Linked DNA regions of Caenorhabditis elegans. The protein of the gene in region 1 purifies or fractionates together with the protein of each later gene. This does not show direct contact. Each region holds a gene or a part of one and is shown on either strand. Other genes may lie near its edges.

Region 1 (3,755 bases):
CGATCTATGCCTGCGGAGCCGGAACCGCCGCCGATCTCGATCAAGTCACAAAGATGCTCTCTGGAAATCTCCGTCTTCTGGAATTAAACACCGGGCGCAAGGCTCGTGTGATCACCGCTCTTCGTCAAGCTAAGCAGCATCTTTTCAACTATCAAGGATACATCGGAGCCTACTTGCTCATTGGAGGAGTCGATCCAACTGGCCCACATCTTTATATGTGCTCCGCCAACGGAACTACAATGGCCTTCCCATTCACAGCTCAAGGATCTGGATCATATGCAGCTATCACTATTTTGGAGCGTGATTTTAAGGTTGATATGACGGTAAGTAGTCTATTTTTGAATTCCAATGCGCTAAAAATACTATAATTATATTTTTCAGAAAGATGAAGCCGAGAAGCTTGTCCAACGCGCCCTGGAAGCCGGTATGCACGGTGACAACGCCTCAGGAAACAGTTTGAATCTTGTGATCATCGAGCCAAGCGAGACCGTCTTCAAGGGGCCAATTGTGCCAGAATTCTGCAAGCGACCAGAGCCCAACGACCTCGTCTACAAATTCCAGGCCGGAGCCACCAAGGTGCTGAAACACAAGACCTACAAGTACGACGTCGTCGAGTCCATGGATATCACTCACTAAATTGCGGTCTTCTGTCGATGTGTGTATTCTTTCCCCCAATTATTTATTTTTTTTCGATTTTCCATCCGTTTCGGTGTCGTCGGTGATTACTTTTTTCGGTATTTTCGTATCCGCCGGCAGTTCTTATCACATTTGTTTTATAAATTCCGAATATAAACTGTCTATTTTCCTTAAAACTGGTATTGTTTGTTGTCTTAATTTGGACTGAAAGCCGGAAAAATGACTTGAAAAACGCTTTCAAGTGTTTTTCCCAATAGTAAAAGTTACTCTCCGGGTTTTAAAAGGAAAAAACTGCGAAATGAATAGATTTTCCAGATCTGAATTGAAAACTTTCTGCGAAAAACTAATTTCCACCTGAATTCTTCTCAAAAGTCAAGAGAGAAGAGTCAAAACTCACAAGAAAAAAATAATCCGATTTGAATTGCCGCGCAGAGAGTTAGATGTGCAGGTCATATAGCAAACACGCTCCACCCACCAATCATTGGCGCGAAACATTTTTTTGTATCTTGTTCTGACTCATTTCCCTGCCTTCCCCGTCGTAATCAGTGTCGTTTTTCCGAAAAATTCCAAATTTTATCATTATTTTATCAGTTTTCCATAGTTTACCCTCATTCGGCCGTGTTCCGGCCCTTTCAAAAATGTTTGTTTTCACGTAAAATCGAATTTTGAAGACGTGAAGCTTCTTCAAGTTGAAATTCAACATTTTCAAATCATTTTGCGATTTCACAAGACGGTTTTCTGCTGCATCTTCCTTGATTAATCTCCGAAAGCACGTATGTTTCAAAATGACTCAAAGTAATCCCATTGGGAATTGCGAAATTCCCATTGTTATTCTCTGGGTCTCTTACAACGGGGTTTTGGCTCCCTTGCAGTCCACTCCTTTGCACTCATTTCAATCCGCTCTCCACTGGCGCCCCGCTATTTCGTCATCATTTTTTTGCAATCGATGACTTGTCCACCGCGGTGTCCGATGTTGGGCTATGTTGAGAGAGCGCGCGCGCTCGTGCGTTCTCGGCCCTATTTGGGCTCACTTTCGTCTCTGCTCTCACCGCAATCGTTTCGTTCTCATATAACAATTGTCTTTCTCTTTTAAAACTTTATAATTTTCTTTTTCAGAAAAGAAAATGCGTGAGGTCATCTCTATCCACGTCGGACAAGCCGGAGTCCAAATCGGAAACGCCTGCTGGGAGCTCTACTGCCTCGAGCACGGAATCCAGCCCGATGGAACCATGCCAACTCAATCAACGAACGAGGGAGAGTCGTTCACCACTTTCTTCTCAGACACCGGATCCGGCCGTTACGTTCCAAGATCCATCTTCGTCGATCTCGAGCCAACTGTCGTTGACGAGATTCGCACTGGAACCTACAAGAAGCTCTTCCATCCAGAGCAGATGATCACCGGAAAGGAAGACGCCGCTAACAACTACGCTCGTGGACACTACACCGTCGGAAAGGAGCTCATCGACACCGTCCTCGACAGGATCCGTCGTCTCGCTGATAACTGCAGTGGACTCCAAGGATTCTTCGTCTTCCACTCCTTCGGAGGAGGTACCGGATCCGGATTCACTTCGCTTCTTATGGAACGTCTTTCCGTCGACTACGGAAAGAAGTCCAAGCTCGAGTTCTCCATCTACCCAGCTCCACAGGTCTCAACCGCCGTCGTTGAGCCATACAACTCGATCCTCACCACCCATACCACCTTGGAGCACTCCGACTGCGCCTTCATGGTCGATAACGAGGCCATCTACGACATCTGCCGCAGAAACTTGGATGTTGAGCGACCAAGCTACACCAACCTCAACAGAATCATCTCCCAGGTTTGTTGAGCTCAATTTGATTGTTGTATTCTAATGTTCTCTTTTTACAGGTTGTCTCCTCAATCACTGCTTCCTTGAGATTCGATGGAGCCCTCAACGTTGATCTCAACGAGTTCCAGACCAACTTGGTGCCATACCCAAGAATTCACTTCCCATTGGCCGCCTACACTCCACTCATCTCTGCTGAGAAGGCCTACCACGAGGCTCTGTCCGTCAGCGACATCACCAATAGCTGCTTCGAGCCGGCTAACCAGATGGTCAAGTGTGATCCACGTCACGGAAAGTACATGGCTGTGTGCCTCTTGTACAGAGGAGACGTCGTTCCAAAGGACGTTAACACCGCCATCGCTGCAATCAAGACCAAGAGAACCATCCAATTCGTCGATTGGTGCCCAACCGGATTCAAGGTCGGAATCAACTACCAGCCACCAACTGTTGTGCCAGGAGGTGATCTTGCCAAGGTGCCACGCGCCGTCTGCATGCTCTCCAACACTACCGCCATCGCTGAGGCCTGGTCTCGTCTCGACTACAAGTTCGACTTGATGTACGCCAAGCGTGCCTTCGTCCACTGGTATGTTGCCCGTTAAACTATACTTTTCAAATATTCAATGTGTTTCTTTTCAGGTACGTCGGAGAAGGTATGGAGGAAGGAGAGTTCACCGAGGCTCGTGAGGACTTGGCTGCTCTCGAGAAGGACTACGAAGAGGTCGGAGCTGACTCCAACGAGGGAGGAGAAGAGGAGGGAGAGGAGTACTAGATGCTCCCACAATCAACTGCCTGGCGATTGACTTTTAATTTATTACTGCAGTTCGATCGTCATAAACAATGTATTATGAAGTATTTTATTTATATAATGTTTTTTGTTAAAAAGAGAAAGAATGAAAGTCGGAACACTTTACGTTTATACCGAGTTGAGTGCCGCAGAGCAAACATGTACAAGCCGACAGTATTTGAGCAGCAGACGCTTGTTCTGCTCATCGATCAGTATTAGATTACAGAAATGGCTGGGCATGTGAATGGAACATGTGCTCCAGTGATTCCAAAGGTTGGTGATGAGGAAGACGGTGTCGGGCAGTTGGTGGCAAATCTGAAAGAGAAGGGAACAAATTTTGTTCTTTTGAAGAAGACTCCACAGATACTTGAATTGCAGACAATTTTGAAAGATAGGTATGAAGTTTGACTGGGAATAGACTGAAGCCTCAAACATTTTATGGGTGAAAATTTAAAGAAAGGGGCTGAAAACTCATATTTCCAAGCTCTTTTTCCAGATTTTGCGGAAAAATTAACGATTTTCGGTATTTT
Region 2 (3,133 bases), on another chromosome or scaffold:
TTTGAGAAGTTTCAGGCCGACTCGTTGTTCAAGAAAGGTCCGATCATGGTGATGGCTGTACGTCGTCCGGGATGTATGCTGTGCCGTCGTGAAGCTGCTGAATTGCACACACTGCTCCCGTTGCTCAAGGAAAAAGGAATCGAACTGGTAAGCGCTCCTTCAAAATAGAAAAATTAAAACTTTGCTTTCAGGCCGCCGTTGTGCACGAGACTCGTGGAGCAAATGAGTTCAAGTCTTGGTTCTCCGGCGGTGATGTCTATTTGGACACTGATCGCACTTTCTACGGTCCAAACGAACGCTGGCTGCCAGTTTGGATGGGATTTCTTCGTTTCGGAACTTACTCGAATGTTTACAAAGCAAAGAAAGCCAAGGTCGAGGGAAACATGGAAGGAGAGGGAAGACTTTTGGGAGGTACGAAAAATTATTAAAATTATTTTTTCATAATAATTGTTCAGGTGTTTATTTGATTGCTAACAACGACATCGTGTTCACTCATTTGGAGAAGGAGTGGGGAGATGCTGCCGATATCAAGGAAGTTCGTGCTGCCGTCGAGAAATTCTCGGAGAAGTCGAAATAATTTTTTAACTTATGTGTTTTCTTAATTAATTAAACGAGGCTACTTTTTTTGTAAAATAAACTGACAAGAAGCTATTTATACAGATCACAGGTTGAAAACAAAATACCGACAACAAGTCAATGAACAAGCTCGAGAACACCCTGACGTATCAGCATTTCGCAGTCTTGGCGTGGAAGGGAGTGCTGAAAAATGTTATACATTATTTAAAAAATTAAAAACGGGATTTCTCTTTTTTCAAATAAAGAAAAATTCGAAGACTTACCAAACTATCCTTGGACAGCTGAACTTGAGTTCCATCTGACGTTTCAAATTCTCCATAATCCTCGAGAGCTCTAACTTGTACAAAAAGTGACTTCGGTGGTGCAGAATGAAGCAGCAGATTAACACCACCTTCTCCAAGATTGCTTTGGAATCTTGCCAATGTGCTCGAATACTCATTGAAAAACTGAATTTCCGCATCGCAGAGGGCGTTCTGAAAAATAATGGTTGACAAATTTTAATCATGTGCACCGATTACCCTAACAGACGCGGGAAGAGCACCTCCATACTTCCATCTGAATGATCGAATCCTGTTTTTCCTCTCGTTCACATAGGCCATCATGCAACGCTGGAAAATTGAACCACTACAATATTTCAAAAATCGACCTTCTCGACTTACTCGAATATGGCACATTGCAGCTAAACGAGGTTGAAGAAGCGTAGAATCATGAGGGAGTCCTGCACGGATTTTTTCACTGAAAAATATGATTTTAAATCAAGAAGTCACGAACGAATCGGTACGCTTCCGAAATGTATCACTTACACGACGGCAGCATTCTTTTGAAACAACTCATCGATTTTCTGATAACATTGGCGTACAAGTTCTGTCTGAAAAGAACTCAAATTTAAAGCAGAAAATAGGATATAATTTTACGTTATAAGGCGGTAATACATCTGGATTTCTTTTCATCTCTAAAACAAGTTGTAGTGCTTTGTCGGCGACGCCTCCTCGATTCTGATCGCCGGAACTCATTTTTTGAACTGCAAAAATTAAAAGTTGATTTGAAAAATAAAATTTTAAAGGGAAATACTTGATTTTAAATATTAAATTCGAAAATAAAAAACATTAAATTTAAAGTCCTCGACTTTCCCACCATTTCGGCTCTTGTGAACTAGTTGTAGACTCGGCCACGGCCATGGGTCTCGCAGCGATTAGCCGAAATGTATCGCCGCCCGTTGAAAACTGCACACATTTTTCTTAAGCATTTTTTAAAAGTGGAATATTGACGATTTTTCATTATTTACTCAATTAATTTCTTCTAAAATCAAATATATCACTAAATTCTGAGTTAAATTCGTTTTAGGCGTTACTGAAACGTAATCCCATGGTCGATAATGATCAATGTTTACAAAAATACATGTTTATATTTAAAACAATATTTAGCACATAGTTAAGGATTATTGGAGCTGGAACGTTCTTTTTTAAATGTATATTCTTCCTGATATTCATGTGTATATTTGCTAAATTGAACAAAATGCCTGTTTTGGTTGTTTTTCTAATTAATTTCTTGTTTATTGATTATTTGGCTTAATCGTTACTCGATTCTCACTATTTAATTAAATATCTGGTTTATTTTTATTTTTTTAATTCTTCGAATTTTCAGTTATGGCCTGGTTCCGTCCTCCACCACCACACACTCAACTCAGACCATGGGTTCCGGACGCGATCTTTATCCCGATCTCTCGCGCCGTTGAGCGTGTCGGAGTGTTCTTCTACAACCGGTTTGTCATTGTCTGAAAACGACGAATAAAATTCTTTTCCAAAAATAACCGATATAATTTTTAGCGTGTTGAACAAGACCGAGGTTGGATTGTTCGACAAGAGATGGAACAAGAACGTTCACGGACCATACTGCCACTGGAGATACTACGGAAAGCTTGATACCAAGTTCATGGATGTGAAGCTAGGAGATCTTCCAGCCTGGATGGCTCGTCGTGAGAAGACCCCATCTGCCTTCTACAACGAGTTCATGCGCAATATCTGGAGAGTCCACAACCTCTATTACTCAGGACCAGTCTACAATAACACTGTTCGTTTAAATTTAAAAAAAAAATACTAATTTTTTTTATTTTTAGGTCAAGGTAATCTTCCGCTTCATCTTCGCCTACTCGTTCCTCAATTGGCTCGTCAAGTCTCACCGTTACGTCGATTTCCAGAAGACGATGTACCATTGGTAGACACCATCCGATTTCGTCTACTCTTCAAAGCTCCACATACAAACTCTGTCGCTGGGGGAGGACGAAACAGCCATCCGATTTTTTCGTATTCTTTTTTCCCCCAATTCATCTCATTCTCGAGACGTCTTCTGTTAATTTAGTCCCCTATCGATTTTGTCCGTTTGTGTCTTTTTTCTATGAGAGAATAAATAGTGTATGGATCGGTTGAATAGAAATATTAAGAAGAAGGTTAGATAGCCGATGCGATTTTCTGGATTTTTTCGCTGTCGGCTTTATCTTTAGATTTGAATCTGTAGATCTAAAGTTCCGATTCTATAGAAGCGCGTCTTCATGTTTCTA

The links. The genes of interacting proteins can lie anywhere in the genome.
Region 2: the proteins of tba-2 (region 1) and psf-1 fractionate together in Caenorhabditis elegans (co-fractionation; one large-scale study listed by BioGRID). This does not show direct contact.

Annotation. Positions count from the first base shown.
Region 1 is NC_003279.8:12,964,269-12,968,023, reverse strand, and holds tba-2 (Tubulin alpha-2 chain), read left to right. Parts: upstream 1-1,752; 5' UTR 1,753-1,760; coding exon 1,761-2,453; intron 2,454-2,503; coding exon 2,504-3,024; intron 3,025-3,077; coding exon 3,078-3,210; 3' UTR 3,211-3,350; downstream 3,351-3,755. Other genes in the region: pbs-2 (Proteasome subunit beta), read left to right, coding at 1-323, 382-636; C47B2.2 (Phosphoribosyltransferase domain-containing protein), read left to right, coding at 3,454-3,620. UniProt on the Caenorhabditis elegans protein: Tubulin is the major constituent of microtubules, a cylinder consisting of laterally associated linear protofilaments composed of alpha- and beta-tubulin heterodimers.
Region 2 is NC_003280.10:9,967,137-9,970,269, reverse strand, and holds psf-1 (putative DNA replication complex GINS protein PSF1), read right to left. Parts: upstream 1,598-3,133; 5' UTR 1,590-1,597; coding exon 1,491-1,589; intron 1,445-1,490; coding exon 1,380-1,444; intron 1,312-1,379; coding exon 1,236-1,311; intron 1,185-1,235; coding exon 1,095-1,184; intron 1,050-1,094; coding exon 840-1,049; intron 760-839; coding exon 694-759; 3' UTR 640-693; downstream 1-639. Other genes in the region: R53.5 (Peroxiredoxin-like 2A), read left to right, coding at 16-147, 192-411, 456-577; R53.4 (Putative ATP synthase subunit f, mitochondrial), read left to right, coding at 2,223-2,338, 2,403-2,646, 2,693-2,794.